Linked DNA regions of Caenorhabditis elegans. The protein of the gene in region 2 interacts with the protein of the main gene of each other region in a pairwise test. Each region holds a gene or a part of one and is shown on either strand. Other genes may lie near its edges.

Region 1 (5,155 bases), on a different chromosome or scaffold from region 2:
AGAAATTTTTTTTGGAGTTCTTCAAAACAGTTCTTCAAAAATTTCTCGAGCGTTTTTGTACTGTTTAAGACAGAGATTTCTAATACTTTTGACTCTCCAATATTATTTCAAAGCATAACAACTTACTTTTTTCAAAGTTGCCTACTGAACACCTACACTACACTACCCTAATTCATTCTACTAATTTTAACCATTAACCTTTCAAAACACAACAAAAACTCTTTAAAAAAACAGATACTACATACAAAGGAGACAAACTATTATTTTATATCCAAGTAATACAATTCAAATTTTTGGAAATTTTGTAAGTTTTCGTTCTTCAAGCAGAATAAAAGTTTTCTGATATTTCTGCAGTTGATGGAATTTGAACATTTGTTTTGAAATTTCATCTTAAATATTAGTATATGTATGTATGTGAAAAGAGTAGCTTTGCTACCATCATAATCTGTTGGAAAATGGTCTTTTACACATCAAAAAGTTTCTATCATTTTTGTATTGTATGTATTCATAATGTAAATTTATTACTCAATAAATAATTATTTAGTGAAAGAGAAAGGATTGATGAACTGAATTATCATGTGCTCGAAGATAGTTTATAAAATACACAGAATGACACATAATAAACATATAGGGTATGAAAAATAAAATATATACGAAGGGCGATGAATCAAAAATCAAGTGTGAAGAGATAGAGTCAGTGATGAGATGAAAAATGTGTTGAGGTTGAGTTGAATTGCACAGGGGGTGAGTCTAAATTAGTAATAAGGTGTTCACATGTTCTGCGCTTGAGCCGACGCATTCAAGTTTTGCTGTGCCTGAAGTGTACCAAAACCGAAAAGAAACCGCGCGGCGGCAGTTGCAGAAGCATCCATTGGAGATGAAATCATATTTCTCATGTTCACACCAGCACTGGTCGTTGGGATCGTAAGGATTCTGAAATATAAAATTTAGAATTAATTTCATGAAACAGTAAACTCACGGAGATGTAAGAGCTGTGGTTGCTGGAATCGAAAACACATTAGCTCTATGCATCTGCAGGGAAATGTTCGTGTCATCAGTCTGAGCTTGTCTCTTGAACTTGTTTCGTCGATTTTGGAACCAAATTTTCACTTGGGTCTCCGTCAAGTGCAGCTTCTGTGCTAAATTTGATCTCTCTTGACTGCTCAAATATCTTTTGCATTCGAACATCATTTCCAATTGGGACACCTGAATGAAAGTATTATTTGAGTTCGGAATGTACAATTTCTGATACCTGACTCCTGCTGAAGACGGTTCTGGTTTTCTTCTTTCTATTTTGTGATGGATCGCTAGAGTTGGCTTCATCATCGCTTCCACGGCCAACTGAAATACAGTTTATGGACACTTTTGTGGACACATTTTTAAATTCAACTCACTATCATCGTCATCTTCTGCGTCAGACTCCAGCGGGCTGCCACCAGTGGAATCCCTGGTCTCCCCATCTTTTCCCTCCGATTTTTCATCCTTCTCTTCTCCATTGTCTGATTGAATATTAACATCTGTAAGGAAACACATTTTCAACAATTACTTAATTCCTGACAGGCATATTAACCATATTGCATTAAGATACTTCCATTGACAGGCCACAATTATAACACATCCCCCCGTGGTCCATCGGTTAATTATCTCAATGGACGGGGGATTACTAGGACACGGGTGTCGGTCAAAATGACACCTTTATAAATAGATGTCTCTATATTAAGAACTACCTTTAGTTTTCAATACTGATTCTTCGTTGACTAATTAGAATCTCTTAAAAACCGAAGTGTAGCCGCTTACGTTACGAATATTGACGACTAAAAATGTGCGCTCATGCGTATGCCTGATTTTTCATGCGAAATGGAAAAGGCTCATTAGAATAAGAGATTTCTATTGCTGTTTTGATCATTTCACATGTTATCAAAAACAAATCAGTGGCAAAACCACATGTATCAACAGAGTCAGCGTAATAAAACAGCGTGATGATGTTATTTTACAATACGCTGATTTGCTTTGCCAAATCAACTGAGCGGAAAACTTAATGGCTTAAAGTTGGACCTGTGAGGGGAAATAATTAATCAGCATTTTTGTAATGTTAAAATGGCTTAATATCAAAATAAAACTGTTTTTAAAAAAATTTTGAGCCAAAAATTAGGTAAAAGCGGACTATGAGTTTTCAATGTTCTTTGACTAAAAATAAATTTTATTTAAAACATTTTTGAAATGTTTTAGTATGACATTTGGTAATTCCCTACAGGCCACATTTCATTATTAAAAACTTTGAATCTGAAAAAAAAAGTTGTTTCTCTATAATTTTTAATTGAATGTATTTATTTTTAGAATCAAAATAAAAGTCAAGGACCTGACACGCGTCACCGAGCTCATGGGGTTTAGTATTCTCACGTTATTAACTTATTGCTGTTTGAGCACATCCTTTCAAGAATCAATGAATACCGCGTGTGGTGTTACCCAACAAAAGATAATTAGTTGAGTTCAACACAGGCGAGCGATTCTGATTCTTATCCTAAGAAAGGAACTGCATCCGCCGACAACCTCCCCCCTCCTTTTTCCATATGTTCATCCAATACCGTTGTTCAACTTGTTAATGAGTCCAGACTTGGCTAATTCGAGACCATACAATAACAATGGGTCAGAAAATGAATTAGTTACTGTATTAAGGGGTGTTCTGAGATTCGGAGAATAAAGAGAACCGACCGAAAATTATAGTGGTAAACGGAACACTGTTTTGAATGAAATGAAATATGGTAGGATTCTTTCACACATTAACTAATGACAGACTAAGGAGAGAGGAAGTTGGGTAATATCTACTGACCTGGGTTGCTCATGTTTTTGAAGTGCATTAGTTGAGCAGTCGGAAGTCCAAAGAATGGGAACATGGTAAGTGGTGAGATCATGTTTTGTTGATTGCCGACGTTCAAGAAAGTTTGCTGAAGTTGCAGGAGGGCAGAAATCGGATTCATTTTTGGATCAAAATTGAAATTAAACGCCGTTTGCTCAATTTCATTGGTGCTATCCTCTGAAGATGCCGACGGGGAACTTTGTGTAGTTCTGAAAGTTTAATTTTATACAAATAAAAGGAAAATAAATGAAAATGTTCAACTTACGGTTTTCTGTCATCTTCCAGCAACTCAGAAATATTGAATTTAATCTTATTATCTGAACTTGGCTTCATCTCTTCTTCCTCTTCTTCCTCCATCAGTTCAATCTTTGGAAGTTGTGACATTTTTTCGAGACGTTCTTGCGAGCTCATTGTCGTCATATCAATAGGGAGATTCATAACTGAAGTCGGCATGTTTGAGAAAAATAGAGTCAACTGAGGGCTAATCGAGAATACTAATGAGTAGCCCCGCCCCACCATTCAAGACTACGGTAGCTGGGCGAGCGTTCGCGGATAAATGGGGTGTAGGAAATGGGAAGGAGAGGAGTAATAATGAAATGATGACCAAGTCAAATTATTGTCTTTGGTAGTGTTAAGAAAACGGATATCAAAACTATATAAACAATGGTTGACCAATAGGAAAACGACTATGAATACAGTTGAGAGAAGTTTAGCAGAATCTGAGGATCTCGAAGAACTCCCTGCTTGCTTTTCCGCTAATGTGTTAAGTGATCAAGCAAAACAGAGATGTTTCTAGGCAATACGCCCTGTCCAACTTAATGTCTAATTCGTTTAAGTGGATTACTATGTTTGGTTAACACCATTAATCACAACAATTAACCGTTTTTTTTCCGCTGAGCGACTCTATCAATTGTTTCAAAATTGATGATCAATTGATTTTGTAATGTAGGTTCAATGTATATTCCAACGAGAATGCCAAAAAGCTAATCAGTTATGCTTTAAGCAAAACATTATTAATTTAAATATGAAATTCGAGATGTTAGTGGATCGTTGTTGCTATGCGAACGCACGGGTCAAGCAGCAGCTTATCCGCGGTTAGTGTCGAATTCGGAGTGCAAAAGGTAATAATGAGGAATGATGGAAACAGGAGAGATATCTAATATAGGCTCGATGAGCAAAACACTCAGGATCATTGTTCACTTGAAATGTGTTCGAATACCGTAACTCCTTGAATAGTACTGTACCACACTATTTGAAACGTTATATCTGTGTTCAGTATCAAAGATAAGAAACTACAAACCGCTAAAAAAAATTGACAAGTACTTTGTTCGTGTTAAGCTGGTAAAGATGGAAACTGGGTTGAAATCCTAATAGGGAAAATACGGTAAATGGTTTGATATTTTGATGTACAGGAAGTTGAAAAGAGTACTGCCAATATTGTGATGACATCTTTTAAACTACTTTTTTCCATACTTTCCAAAAAAATCATTTTTGGCTGAAAAAAGAACACTCGTATTACTGTTAATTTTCAGAATGGGGGTTTAATTTACAAATGAAAATTTTAGACGAGATTTCTGATACCTTAGAGAACCCATGCAAAACTGAGGGAAAAGAGATGAATCAAGAGTCGATGGAAGTGAATCGGAAACTATCACATGAAGTCTTATGAAGCTTGAAAAAAAGTTCGAAGCAAACAAGTAATCACGAAATGTGTTTTTTTTCCTGATTAACCCTTGAGAGTCCAATGACGAACATTTGAAAAAAAAATCAAGTTTTAGTTTTGATCAAACGCAAAATAAAACGAGTTGAGGTGAGCACAGCCGTATTGAATGAACGTCCACAGCTCCACCCACTTCCATGATATACGGTAATTGGGACCCAAGACGCTTACCCGCCCGCTCTCATGTGTTTGTGTGCGCGCTCGTTTGGTTTCAAATAGGGAGGGGGGAGAAAATAATTCAACACAATCTCATTAAAACCGGTAATAGTAAAATAAGGCGACGACGTATTTGTACAGAATAATATGGTCGAGGAAAAACATGCACACACGTAATGGCTGATAGTAGTGGCGTTCATAGAAATGAGCTGAAAATGAGCAGAAATGAAATGAAAGATGAGGATGAGAATGAGAAAATGGAATTGATATTTTCCACATTATTTCCCATTATTCTCTTAGAGGTTTTGTTATGTAAAACATCACAAAATGGATTTAATACGACGACTCACAACGTTCTCAAGCCAATGTGCAACACTGTAGAAGGTGTGAAATGTTGGTGTCTGTTGCTCACATCTAAGGAA
Region 2 (3,414 bases):
TTTTCAATTCAAAGAAATTGAACACGTGTTCCAAGTGTTTATTTTTAATAGTTGTGCTGACATTTTTTGAATTTTCTTTCACAGTTTCTTTATTTTTCAGGGTTCGTAAACCAAGTTGCCGGTTGCCGAACTTTTTTCGGCACTTTGGCAACTGTCCATATCAACGTCAAACATTTTGTAACTCAAAAAAAAACATGCAGAGAGCCTGAAAAAGCTAGAATTTCACTGTAAACGAAAAAAACGACCATACATTTTTCCAAAACGCTCAAAAATTTAATTTCGACAAAAAAAACTTTGAAACCTGGTTGCCGAAAAGTTTCCGAAGTTCCGGCAACCGGAAGTTGCTGGCTGCCGAAGTTTTCAGCGTTCGGCAACTTTGGCAATTGCCGGTTGCCGAAATTTCTTTAAATCTCGGTTGCCGCACAGTCCTGGTAAGAACGCAATTCAGTTCTATAATTTTTCTCCAATTGCTACGCATCTGTTCAAATTATCATGCACACTGTGCTGAAAATCTCAATATTGCTGTGTGTTAAACTTGAATTTATTATCTTGATGTTACTTTTTTAAATTTATTAATTTTCAATGAATCGGGATGCAAAAGATGTCTAAATAATGTTGAAAACTGTTGAAAAAAATTGGAGACCAATACGATTTTCAGCTGAATCTCTTCAGCCAACAATATCGATATCTTTCTCATTTTCTTCTATTTCCAGAGCGTCAATTTCGAAGCTGGAACTTGGGACAATAGGAATCTGAACTGTAGGCATGTGAGGAGGATAAAGTGAAAATTGATTGTATGAATTGAAAACTAATGGCGAATAAACTGGGAATACTGGGAGAAAAGGAAGTATTGGAAATGGTAGGCAAGGTACTGTACATGTGATCGACTTTCCACGAATCACTTCAAAGATGATTTCTAGAACCTTCAAATTCTCCATTTTGTCTCTGAAAAATACGTGTTTTTTAATTTATGGCCAATAAAATCTAAAACCTACATTTCTTCTGAGCTACTCAAATTATTCAATGCAATAAATTTTCTGAGCTCTCTGTACGCGGCAACTCTCTTATTTCGGCGAACTTGTTCCCGATCGCTTTTAATCTTTTTAATACTTCTAATTGGTCCAGGCGATGTTGAAAACGATTCGTGATGAAGTTGAATACCAGATAACAATTTCACAATACGAAATAGAACCTCTTCTTTTCTGAATAGACATTAGTTGAGAGTACGTTTTTTTTTTTTAAATAAAATAGTAGAAAACTTACGAAAGTTTTTCAGATTCCGATTTTTGAACGATTTTCTTGAATTCATTCAACAGATCATTAGTATCATCTCTTCTTTGTTTTTCTGTTTCAGATCGATGTCCATGTGAAGAAGGGGACCCAGATGATGACGAAGTTGGAGAGGAAGACATTATGAGTCAAGGATCTGAAATATAATAATAATAGTTAACAAAAGATTATTAGACAAAAACCGTAATAGGGAGACTACAAAATATGAAAGGCAGTTCAAATTAAAGACTTATGAAAACGTTGAAAAGAACCAACCTTACAGTTCAAGTATGCAAAAACATAATGACTACCTTCCATTATATGTTCGAGTTTTTTCTTCAATAGGCGGGGATTCTCATCGTTTGGAATATCATGGGAATCTGATATCCATACCTTTATTACGCGTGGTTCTCATGGTGCATCGAGTACCACATCTCCAGTTCTTGCCGTGGCAGCCTGAGAACCCAAGCAATGCGAAGGGTCACAACCTGAACGAAGTTATTGATTGGTGGGAAAAAATAATCCTGAAATGAATATTTGGTAAAATCGGAGCTCGATGGAATTTAAAAATGTAAATATATAATACAAAAGAAGAATTTAGAATATTTAAAATAAAAATGCATATTAATTAACTCAAATAATCAAATACATGAATTAGGTTATAGTATTTTTCCTTTACATGATAGTTTAAAATATTTATATCAAGCTGTTCTAGAAATGTTTTAAAAAACAATATCCAAGTTTAAAAAAATCTCAATTTATTTTTAATTTACGAGGTTTCCATCTCAGCGTGTGACACTTTTCTTATAACTTGGCACCTACATGTATCCGGTGTGAATTTTTTCTGTTGCTGTGTGAGCATTTCCAGCAAACCGGAGTTCTCAAAATCAGTAAGGTTATATGTTAAAATTAAACTGGCTTATTATTTTCAGAAAATGAAAAACTGCCATATTTGAGTGATAAACTGAATGAATCCGTAAAATTTGGTAGTTGTATGTTCTATGCATTATCATATACATCAATCTGGTAATTTTTATTAGAATCAGATCTTGAATATTGGAAACTTTGCGAATTAAAGACAAATAATGATTAGGCAAGCTGATTAAATGAGTGATAAAAATGGTTAATGTCAATTCACAGTCTCCGCCGAAATTTCCCAGGCTGTACCCAATCAATATCCAGTCGTGGCAAAACTGGAGATGTCCTGACTCGTTCTCATGAGAACCTCACTGATGAACCATGGGAACCCGTGATGGGGACTGTAAAAATAGAGATTTCAGAATAATTCCCATGGCTCCAAACGCTTGATACAAAGCTCCACCCTCTGAACAATAATGGAACTATAAAAGGTAACCATTTATTCATTGTTCATTTACTTTCTTAGTGGATCACTGGTCTGCTGGTTTAGTATACTTTTTGATAATTGTAACATCAGGAAAGTGTACTGATTTTGATCAATTACTTTTAAAGCATTCAGTGAACTGTATACTTCTAGAAAAACAGTACGAGTTATCTCACTAAACTAAATCAATTTGTGCTGCTTTCTTGGTCCCATTTATCTGTTTTGTCACAATTATTCCTTTTTAACGGCTCATCTTGAATTTTTATAAATTCTACATTTCTTATTGATTTTAAATTAATGAAAATTATTAAATTTCAGATGCCAAAAGTTATTCAGTCTTCAATGAGCGATTATCGTTCCGTCCCATACAATCAAACTCCAAAATCAGCTTCTGAACGGAAAAGAAGAAATATTACAAACGAGTTGATTAACGAATGCAAGACGATTGTTCAAAAATCAGAAGAAGAACATATATCGTAAGTTTAAATACTCTGTTAGCTTAAAATAGTTATTAAACTAATTCATTTTTTAGACAAGAAGTAGTTCTCTTCCGAATTGTGAAACTTGTGACTGGAGTTAATCTGGAATCTAATTTCTCATCGAATGACCTCTCCGAATCTACAAGACGGAAGTTTGATACTGAATCCGAAAGAAGAAAAGTGAAGACTGAACGTGAAAAGATTCGAAGAAAGAAACAAGATGACTGTTATGCTGAATTGAAATTCTTCATTTTGAACAAACAAATGGGAAGTTACGAGCAACGGTAAGAGTTTCATTATGGCTAATAAAAATTCAAAAAATTA
Region 3 (5,758 bases), on a different chromosome or scaffold from region 2:
TACTGAAAAATATCAATTTTCTGGGAAATCGCTGAGTTTTCAGCTTTTTTAACCACAAAATTTGAATTTTTCACTAGTTTTCAGTCGAAAATTTGTGTTTTAAACAGAAAGTTCAAGTTTAAAAATTTATTTTTCGGATTTTCAGTCAACTTCCAAGATTTTTACCGAAAGATACAGAATTTAATCCATTTTTTAAGTTTTTTCAGCGCAAAATTGCAATTTTGCTCTGATTCTTGCTGCAAAATCGGATTTTTTATCGATTTTTCTTCATTTTTTTCTGGTTTTTTTGTGTTTTCCAGGACCACACATAAAAATGCAGTTTAAAATCGATTTTCTCGAATTTCTAGTGAATTTTTCGCAATTTCCAGGCAAAAAACTACGAACATTGATGAAATTGAGAATTGTATCGATTAATCCCGGCTTATTCCACGCCAGACGCTTCGAACTGCCCAGATAATTGATAAAACAGGGGAAGAGATCGGCATGATTCCGGCAAAGGCTCGGATATCGATCGAGAAGCACCGAAAGTGTGCTCAGTGCGAGGTGGCGGACTCTGAAAATTCAAAATTTCCCATTTTTCAGAAAAAATCCACTCACTCTGTGACGATATTCGTTAGAGCGCGGAGCACGTGGGACAGGAAAAGTGTGATATGAGCCGACATTGCTTGAATTGAAGCTGTACACAGAATTTTGTAGAGATTCAGTAGATTCTGACGTGTGGAGGGCTCGAAAGAAGCGTCAGCCACGTGCACAGCCACGCAGGGAACCAAAAGCCTCAACTGGACGTTGACAAGATCCGGGCGAGACGTTAAAATCTGTTTTAGTCCTTGAATAGCGTTCATTTTCACTTTCTGAACGAGAATTTATTAATTTTGATCGATATTCAGCGAAAAATTACCGCATTAAAGTGCCCCATCTGCTTGCAGAGCTCATCGAGCGTTAGACCACGGAAACTAAGTGGATTATCATCTGTTTCCACTTTTTCCTCCAACTGAGTCGCCAATACTACTCGTTTTGCTGAAAAAATGAATTAAAATTCGCGAAAATCGGGTGAAAACTCACCTTTGATAGTCGTGTCGGTGGTCGTCGTTTTTTTCAGCTTTTTTCCCACCTTCAGCTTGACTTTTTTGAAATCTTCGTTTTTCCGTGCCTTCTTTTTGGTCACCATCTGCAAAAAATGTTAATTTTCGCGTGTTTCTTGAGAGAATAACAAGAAAAATGCGAAAATGGCAAAGGAAAAAAAAAGAGAGGAGAGACCACGCCTCGGTGAAGTGCAAGTTTCATAGATATTGATTCGAGAGAAAATTATTCCCATAAATAGAAACATCACGCCCAATTTTTAATATTTTCTTTTATTCAGAGTTAAAATAAATTGAAAACCAAATTGTTAAAATTTTTCCCACTATGCTCAAATCAGATCCTTACAATAATTTATAATTATCCTGCGTTCCCGTTTCTGCACACTCATTTATCTCATAATACAGCAACGTCTCCAAAGCAAAAGCGCTCTACTGCGCATAGGAAAAAGGCGCGAATCGAGTGATTTGAATAATTTCGCGGTGTTTTACCGCATTTTATCTTCTTTTTTCTCATTTTTAAACGACGTTTTACTCTTATAAATATTTTTCACGTATTATAGTTTCATATATCTTTCACACATTCGTCCTCCTAAAAAATTTAGTGATTCTGAAGGCTCGTAATTTATATGGCATGAATGTTCTGAAATATTCCTAATTTTTTGAACTTTCAGATTTTTATTTTTGAACATAAAATGGCTCACACTTTTGCGTGCCCACGTGGAGATTGTGGACTTTTTTCGCTTTCCAAACTGTAAGTCAAACATTGTATTGCATAATCACCGGTTTTTGTTTCAGGGACGATCATCTCACTGCGGATCATCATCTGGAACACATGTGTTCAGAGTGCGAAGAGAGCTTTGGCTCTGCAGAAGAGGCCAAAGAGCATACTCTTTTAGCTCACGAAAATGCTCAAACATTCGATGATCCAAAAATTAGAAATACTAGGTATTGTTGTTATCTCAGAGCTAAAATAAATATAATATTTCAGAATTGTAGATTCCATAATTGCAGCAGTGAGAGTATCCGGTGATGTGATTGAAGAATTCAATTCAGTGATCATGCGAGCGGTTATTCGTCATTGGGGAAACACGAGCACGGAAAAGCTGGTAAGGAGCAGATGATAATTTTATTTTATCTGAGAATGCGTTTTGCGCAAAATATCTTGTATCGAAAACTACAGTAACTTTTTCAAAGACTACTGTATCACTAGCGGCGACTTACGGAAATCATTCGATAAAAATTAAAAGAAATCACAAAAATGACAACAACTTGAATTTCGCTGTCACAATTTGATCAGAAAATTACAAATAGCAAGCCAATACATCGACGCCAGTTCTACAGTAGGCAGTTCAGGTTTTTTATACAGTTAAGTATTATATTAAAAGTAAAATATTAAAACTGTCACCTTAAATTTGAATCCAGCCAAGCCCGCGAAAAACTCCGCTCGATTTCGGATGCCGAAAATTGGCTCGAATCGAGAGATATTCGGGAGATGCTGGAATCAAATAAGACCTACTTTCTTTTAGATTTCCGCCGATCACCACAAAAATGAAAAGAGTGGGTAATATATCGCGGCCGACAACCCACGGGTTCCGCGCCTCGCTATAAATTAAGTAAATTAAGCCACGCCCTTCAAAAGCACACCAACTGATAGGGTGTGGCTTAATTGACTTAATTTAGAGCGAGGCGCGGAACCCGTGGGTTGTCGGCCGCCATGTATTACCCACTCTTTTCATTTTTGTGGTGATCGGCGGAAATCTAAAAGAAAGTAGGTCTTATTTGATTCCAGCATCTCCCGAATATCTCTCGATTCGAGCCAATTTTTGGCATCCGAAATCGAGAGGGAATTTTTCACGGGCTTGGCTAAATTCAAATTTGATGTGACAGTTTTAAAATTTTGATACTCTTTTTAACGAAAAATTATTCGATTTCAGATTGCTGTCGTTGATTCTCCAATGATTACTCGTGACTTCTATATCGACTGTTTTGAAGCTTTAAAGATGGTAGACTATTCATTTGTATTTAAACAATGAAATAAAATTCGAAATTTGCAGAGATACGATTCTGGAGAGAAGTCCATCGATCTTCTCTGTCGTTTGGCAAAATTGTGTACAAAAATTGGAAATTTTGTTGAGAAGGAAAAGAGAAAGGACATCATAATCAAAGGAAAGATGTACGCTACCGAAGCCTGGAACACCGATTCGTACAACATCTTGGCTGCTCATTGGGCCGCTGTGATGTCAGGAAAGGCAATCGAATATCTTGAAGGCGATGAAAAGAATCTGGAGATGAGACACTGCAGACAATATCTCGATCGTGCCATCTCTATCCAGGCAGGAAAAAATGCAATGTACAATAATATTCTTGGCCGTTGGGCTCTTTCAGCACTGGAGATTTGGGAGTCTGACCGACAACAGTTAATTCATCATTATGCCACCCCATATGACGCTATCGACGATGCCATTTATCAGTTCAGATCCGCTTTCGATCTCATACCGTATTGGATCGATAATATTGTACACCTGGGCAAAGCGCTTCTTTACAATGAAAACAAAGAAGCCGCCATTGGAATGTTTCAGCTCGCACTCAAAATGGACCCGTCGAACGATATCGAGAAAGAGTTGCTCGCCGACGCCCTTGACTTGTGCTCAATTTGATCCTTCTTTTATTTCCATTTTATTTTCTGTGTCTCATTTTTCCGTTTGCACTTTCCTCCGTTTTTTTATTGTAAAAATTCCGTAAAAATCGGCCCAAAATTCCCATTTTCAGGGGATTCTTGGAGCCCAACTTCTTTTTTTAAAAATTTGGATTTTTAAATTTTTCCCCGATTTTCTATAGGAAATTCCAAAACATTTACTGAAAAATAGAAAAAAAAATGGCCAGATTTCTCGAAAAAATTAAAATTTTTGGAATTTTTCTGATTTTTAGCTAATTTTTTGAAAAAACTGGCTCAAAAATTTTTTTTTGGTATTTTTTAAAGAATTTTTATTTTTAGAAAATCCGTGAAAATTGAGGGAAATTGAGCCAGAAATTTGGTATTTTGGAGCCCAAAATCTGTTAATTTTTATTTTTAAATTTCCACGAATTTTAAGCTAATTTTCTGAAGAAGTTGGCTCAAAATTTCGGTTTTTTGGAATTTATTTTTTTCCTGAATTCCTAGAATTTATAGTGTAGTTGATCCGGAAATTCTATTTTTCTCAAATAATTGAAAATTTTTACTTTCAGAAAATCCCTGAAAATTGAGTGAAATTGAGCTCAAAATTCATATTCTTCTCAAAAAATTGATTTTTCTGTTGAAACTTCCTTGAGAAAATTTCTAGAAGAAGCTGGCTCAAAATTTCGAATTTTTGGAAAGTTTTTGGAATTTTCATAATCAAGTTTTTTTCGAAAAAATTGAAATTCCGCCGAGTTTAAGCTAATTTTTAGAATTTTTCTCAGTTAACGGTTCTTTTCTAGTGAAAAATTCCAAAATTTAGAAATTTAAAAATCCCTTTTCCCCTTATAAATTGCCCCAAACATTTCCGCTTCAACCAATTTTTCAACATTTTTATTCTATATTTAACGGCTATACAAAAAAATCGATAATTTCTCAGGTTTTCACCTCTATTTCCTATCTTGTTCACACGCCTCGGTCCCAAAATTTAATAGATTTTCAGGCCAAAAAAACCAATGGGGTTTTTACAAATTCTTCAAGAATGTCGAGCCGAAGGACTATGGCCAATTGGGCCATCTTGTAATAAGGTGCTGTGAAAAATTTGGAAAAAAATTATTATACATTCGTCGAAAAATTTCATCTCAGTTTAAAGGCGCACACATTTTTTGTACTTTGGGTCTCACCACGATTTCGACTTTTTGAAGCTTAAAATCACTAAAAATTACGTGGATCGTGGCAGGACAAAAAAGTGTTATTATACATTCGCCAAAAAATGCCAGCTGATGAAAGGTGCATGTTTTTTGCAAAAATTGCAAAAAATTACCAATCGAAAAAAAAAACTCATATTTTTCCGATGGGTCTCGCCACGATCTGCGTCTTTTGGATCCTAAAAGAACCCAAAATTATGTGAATCGTGGCGGGACCCAGAAGTGTATGCGCCTTTAAAATAGGAGAGTATATTTTTGAGAATGTGTAATAATTTATTTTTTTGCTTTGAAGAAACTTTTTATCATTTTATGATAATAATAATTTTATTATACATACGTCGAAAAAATGTCATGGCAATTACCTTTAGGTCTCGCCACGATCTACGTCTTTTGGATCCTAGAAGCGTCCAAAATCACGCAATTCGTGACGAGACCCAACAGTGTATGCGTCTTTAAAATAAGCTTGCATAATTGTGGGAATGTATAATAATTTATTATTGTATTTTTTCAATTATTTATTACAAAAAAATGTATCAAAAAATTTTATACAAATCAACAAAAAAAACAAAAACAATTTTTTTCGTGTACTCCACACGGACAACAAACTGTAGTTTTACAACTAAAACGCGCCGTAAATCTACACAAAATCTCTCCGACCCAAAATGGCCTAATTCGGCAAACTCTGCCATTTCGATTCATGAGGGAAGCCAGAATTCCGTGTTTTAACCGAAAATTCCAGAGTCTATCAAAAAATTCCAATTTCACCTTTCTACCGTAGTCCAGCGCGGGAATTCAAAATTCTCACGTTCCACCGGTCT
Region 4 (4,953 bases), on a different chromosome or scaffold from region 2:
GTAGGCAGTGCCATGATGTTCCGACGTTCGAGGTGGCAGCAGCACAACAACACACAGCGGAGAAGAAGCATGCGAACAAAAAAAACGTCTGGTTTCTCTGATGCCCTAGCCCTCACCCACCCCACCCCGACTACTGGTACCAGGCGCCTCCTCGCCGCTCTTCAAGACCACCCCGTCGACGACGCTGCGCCAAAACAAACACGGCGACTGGCACGCTTCTTCTCAACTGCGTCTTCTTCTTATCCGCGCGGAACACACACAACACACACACACGGCATATAATAATTGTTTTGGCTCCGGCGTTCGGTGGGCTCCGCGCGGAGCAAAAGGAGCAAAAGAACGCACGTAGGAATTCGTCATTTATGTTTTGGTGACTAGGGACTAGTAGTCTTGAAAGAGTAGGATATTAGTATGAGGAGAGGTGAAAGAATCCAAGGGTCCAAAAAGATTTTTAGCATTTAAGGAGTCTAAACTTTTCCGAACACCTCGTGAAATTTTGCACCTGGCAGCAATTTTTGCACCTGGAGGGGTTCAGTTACTACATGAAAACTTTGAGGTTTTAGAGGGGTATTGTAGGATTACTGTAGTATTAATGTAGGGCTACTGTAGAAATACAAAAAAATTACGGTAGGGCTACTGTAGTATTACTGTAGGGCTACTGTAGAATTACAGAAAAATTACGATAGGGGTACGATCACTGTAACAGTTGATGCACCATGTTTTGCCGATTAACTTTGACAGCTTATATCTCGATTACTTTTACTGATATCAAAAAATGTTTAAAAATAGAACTATAGAGAAAGATATAAGAAATGTTTTGTCTGTTGCCAATTTTTGAACCAAAAACAACCAAGATTTGAACCAATGAAGTTGTGCTTGGCATTTTACTTTGAATGATCATATCTTGGTTTTTTAAAGAGATATCAAAAATTGTTAAACTACATTATTATAGAAAAGGTTATAATAAACATTTTGTCACTAGACAATGTTTTGATAACACCAAACACAACTGAAATACAAGACGTCAAAAAGCTGACGAAGGATTTTCAGTCGATGCACCATGTTTTTTTAAATTTCACAAAGTTTCCTATTTCCCATTCAAAATCACTAACCTTTTATTTTCAAATACTCAAATACGTAACCTTTTACCTTATCACATACCCTGGTCACCCCAACTCGTGGTATCAGGTTACCCCCTCGTAACCCATTCCGCGTGACCGCATGCCTGCCGGCGCGGCGGCAAGCGGCCTGGCACGGAGCTATGGGTGCCTGCCGGTGACATGATGATGCCCGTCCAACCATAGATAATAATAGGTAGACACCACATACAAACATATGTGTGTGTGTGCGTTCTTTTTTTGTTGGAAAAATGAGAGAGAAACTTTGACCACATACAAACATTTATGGCTATATCTAGTTGGATTTCAAAAACCATGTGTTTGACCTACATGTAGTACGGATTAACGGGATTGGTGGAAAATGTGGATAGGACCTTTGAAAACTGGGTTGATAGTGATTTCAGATCATGGTGCATGGACTAGATTTTAGGCAGGCGCGGGGCCTGAAGCCTGCCTGAAACCTGCCTGCTTTTTCCCCTTTTATGCATTTTAGGTGTATTTACACTGATGATTTTCAAATTAAAAAAAAAAGAAAAAAAAAACACGTATGATTTAGCATAAGTATTGAGGCAGGCGGAGATCGCCTGAAGGCCAGGCAGGTAGGCGTTTTATCGCCTACATAGGAGCCCTACACTTCAAAGTTGAGTCATATGAAATCAATGTAGAAAAAATTATGAAAAACAGCTTAACTAAACGTAACCGAAATATGGCCTCGATGCACCATGTTCAGAACTTTTCTTCGACAGACTCTATCTAAGAAGTGTTAATTTAAAAAAAAAAATTCCGATAAAACCAAAACCAGCCAAAATATGTAAGGAATTATGAAGAATGAAACAATTATTAAAAAGTTCCGAGAGGAGGAGTCCCAAGATAAAACAATAGCCTCACTCTCTCTCTCCCATATAACAACAAATGAAAACAACCTCCCAAAAAAAAACCAAACACAGAAGTAGACAATTGAAAGAGTGACGGGATGGTGAGAAACCAGTTCAAATGACCAGGTCATTGTTTCAGAGAAAACTGGTCACTTTTGTCGAGTTTTTTTTTGGGCAAACTATGTTAGGCAAGCCAATATCTCGGCTTTTTATGCTATTTGTAATTTTTTCCACGGGTTAATGTAGAAAAAGAGGTGAGCAATATTTTGTCAGTTGATAATTATTTTATAAACCCAGAGACAATTTAGATATAGAGCTGGTAAAGTTAAGTTTGCAAAACTTATCGATGCACCATGTTTTTATTTTGGTTTATTTTAGCGATATTAGTTACATATCAACTACAAATGTATAGAATAATGAATAAAACATTTATTACCAATAGACAACTTACTGGATAAACAGGGCGCGATTGGTGGGATAGCGGAGCGTCGTTTGAAAGTTTGAAAAATTGCAAGTTCTCTTTTTTTTTTGTGCAAAAAAGCTGGTAATAATGCACAAAAAAGTCATGTAAAATTTCAAATTCCCACCAAAAATTATTGGATAAACAGAGCGCGCTAGGGGATAGCGGAGTGTCGTTAGAAACTAGTAAATTTCAAAACTTGAAGGCTTCTAGTGGTGAAATCGATTTTGTTTTGGTGGTCGGTGGTGCAAAGCTGATAAATTTTAAATTCATAATTTAATCTGTGATTAGAGGGAGTTGGCCCGAAATTTGGAACTTTTTCTTTAAAAAAAAACTTCAAGTTAAATTGGCTAAACATCAAGCACTAGAGGGATAACGGAGTGTCGTTTGAAATTCAATGTTGCACTTGAAAACTGATAAAAAAGGGCCCAAACCCAACCCTAGATGGGTCCAAGCCTAGACAGGTCCCAGAAATTTCTAGAGAGCTCCAGATAGGCCAAACTCACTCACGTTTTTTCGTCTTTTTCTCGAAGAGTCCTCGCGCGCGGCGGAGTGCGGAAGCGGCATGATGCGACGCGACGAGCACTGCGGAAAAATGCCTGCGTCTCTTCGTCTCGCACGCTCTATCGGCTCGTTCCGCGCGCCCCTCCTGGTGTCGACTGGCACGTCGGGGCGCCCCCCCGCTGGCCACTTAGAGACGCAGAGTGTGGGAAAAAGAATGACCAGTGGTTGAAAAAATGACATTCAAAAAAGAAGAAGAAGAAGAAGGAAGGAGCAACAAACCACCAAACAACACAAAATTGATAAGGGTATGGGAAATCGCACAATTTTTGAGAATTCTCTCAAATAGGTCTAGGAGGTCTAAAAACTGAAATTCTGAATTGAGAAATCTATATTTAGGTCAAAAAGGTCTAAGTGTTAGGATCCTGAGCTATATTTCAGCCTAACGGAGTCTAAAATGCCAAAAATCATAGACTGGGTCTTTTTTGCAACCTAATTTTGGCATGTTTATACTTTTTATAGGTAGGGAGCCAAATTACGGACTAAAAGGTGATCGGTCTAGGGACTGGAATTTTGGTCTGAACGTTTGATTTGGGCTGTAAAGGCATTGATATTGGCCAGTCTTGGCCAGGCCATAACTTTTCCCGAAAGGGTTACAAACAGGGTTCTAGAGACTCTAGTTTTGGCCCAAAAAGGAGTTATGAAGCAAAAAGGGCCACAATACCCCAAAAATAACCTAAATGGTCCAAGTGTTGAGTTACGTTTCCTACCTGTTTAGTCTGGCAAAAAAAGCCTAGAAACCCTAATTCTGATCTAGGACCAAAATTTTATCATAAAGAGTATCAAAAAAGGCATAGGGACTTGAATTTCGGTCTGAAAGTTTGATTTGGTCTATGAAAGCCCTAATCTTGCAGGTCATACTTAGGCTGGAAGGCTTACAAACAGGGCTCTAAGTACTTTATTTTTAGCCACGCTAATCCTGATCTAGGACCCTTATTTTATCTCAAAGAGTTTCAAAAAGAGGCCCTTGAATATTGGCCGATCTGGTCTCAATGGGAACTTAAGAACCATGGGTCTTTCGTCTGGCAGAATAGGCTTAATTTGGGCCTAGGACCCGGATTTTATCTCATAGGGTTTCAATAAGTAAGCCCAAGCCTAAGCTTCAGCCTAAGCTCAAGCCTGAGCTCAAACCTCAGCCTAAGCTTAGACCCCAAGTTTGGCCAAAGGATCCTTGAAGAAGGACCAATATTTATTCGAATTTTTACCAAATATAAAGTACCATACTAAAAAACTTTTTTCATATCTTTCTGTATTTGTATGTTCTCTACTTTTTTCTTCTGTCTTCTTTACAAAACCTCCCCCCCCCCCCCCCATCTATCCATGATTCACATGCTGCCACACCTCCCCCACACTATTTCACTCTTTTTTCCTGCTGCTGCTGCTGCTGCAAGCATCGAGAAATACACACACAAATACACGGTGCTGGGTCACCACCTGGAGCCACCCATGGCTCTTTTCATATGTTTTTGCCTGGAAAATGACGACGACGCGGCAGCGGCAGCGGCAGAGACGCGGAGAACAAGCAGGGAGCGGAAGGAGTACGGGACCAGCGGGGCTAAGGGGGGCCTGGGAACCGGGGAGCCAAAAGTGGTCTGGGATCGTGCAAGGAACCAGGGAACCGAGTAAGCAAGGGAAACGGGGGTGCAAAAGCATTGCTTCATTCAGTTCCAAACTTGAGAAATTCAAAAAAAAAACAAAGCCCACGGGCATAGGAATTCTAAGGTGATAAGCACCGAGGCATCAAAAACGCTAGTTCGATTTTCATACACTTGAGCATTAGAAAAATCTTGTGTAGGCCTTCTAAGTCCAAAAGCCCAAAAACCGGTCGAAAAGGTCAGGTTTTTTTCAGAATTATTGAATTTTCTGGGGATTTCTTTTTGCTCTCTTTTTGTCCCCTGCTCAGCCTAAGCCTAAGCCTAAGCCTAAGCCTAATCCTTAG

What was found.
Region 1: the proteins of hlh-26 (region 2) and mls-2 interact in a two-hybrid assay, tested with the Caenorhabditis elegans proteins (one large-scale study listed by BioGRID).
Region 3: the proteins of hlh-26 (region 2) and sup-35 interact in a two-hybrid assay, tested with the Caenorhabditis elegans proteins (one large-scale study listed by BioGRID).
Region 4: the proteins of hlh-26 (region 2) and znf-782 interact in a two-hybrid assay, tested with the Caenorhabditis elegans proteins (one large-scale study listed by BioGRID).

The regions. Positions count from the first base shown.
Region 1 is NC_003284.9:4,758,303-4,763,457, forward strand, and holds mls-2 (Homeobox protein mls-2), read right to left. Parts: upstream 3,339-5,155; 5' UTR 3,311-3,338; coding exon 3,123-3,310; intron 3,067-3,122; coding exon 2,831-3,066; intron 2,593-2,830; exon of another isoform or gene 2,394-2,592; intron 1,518-2,393; coding exon 1,395-1,517; intron 1,342-1,394; coding exon 1,253-1,341; intron 1,207-1,252; coding exon 980-1,206; intron 934-979; coding exon 771-933; 3' UTR 502-770; downstream 1-501. UniProt on the Caenorhabditis elegans protein: Transcription factor that binds to the promoter of target genes. Regulates fate specification and/or differentiation of multiple cell types arising from the embryonic mesodermal (M) lineage and the ABp(l/r)paa precursors.
Region 2 is NC_003280.10:5,532,311-5,535,724, forward strand, and holds hlh-26 (Helix-loop-helix protein 26), read right to left. Parts: upstream 1,433-3,414; 5' UTR 1,413-1,432; coding exon 1,264-1,412; intron 1,203-1,263; coding exon 996-1,202; intron 946-995; coding exon 669-945; 3' UTR 529-668; downstream 1-528. Other genes in the region: hlh-25 (Helix-loop-helix protein 25), read left to right, coding at 2,930-3,087, 3,144-3,374. UniProt on the Caenorhabditis elegans protein: As a homodimer binds DNA via the E-box sequence 5'-CACGTG-3'. Represses lag-2 transcription during embryogenesis via Notch signaling, in an unc-37-dependent manner. Also represses tbx-37 independent of Notch signaling.
Region 3 is NC_003281.10:11,115,213-11,120,970, reverse strand, and holds sup-35 (Regulator of microtubule dynamics protein 1), read left to right. Parts: upstream 1-1,744; 5' UTR 1,745-1,771; coding exon 1,772-1,830; intron 1,831-1,874; coding exon 1,875-2,024; intron 2,025-2,067; coding exon 2,068-2,185; intron 2,186-2,486; exon of another isoform or gene 2,487-2,610; intron 2,611-3,013; coding exon 3,014-3,082; intron 3,083-3,133; coding exon 3,134-3,736; 3' UTR 3,737-4,748; coding exon of another isoform or gene 4,749-4,820; 3' UTR 4,821-5,217; downstream 5,218-5,758. Other genes in the region: Y48A6C.4 (Pre-rRNA-processing protein Ipi1 N-terminal domain-containing protein), read right to left, coding at 385-553, 598-851, 899-1,017, 1,063-1,168.
Region 4 is NC_003282.8:1,064,519-1,069,471, forward strand, and holds the start of znf-782 (C2H2-type domain-containing protein), read right to left. Parts: upstream 3,008-4,953; 5' UTR 2,964-3,007; intron 1-2,963.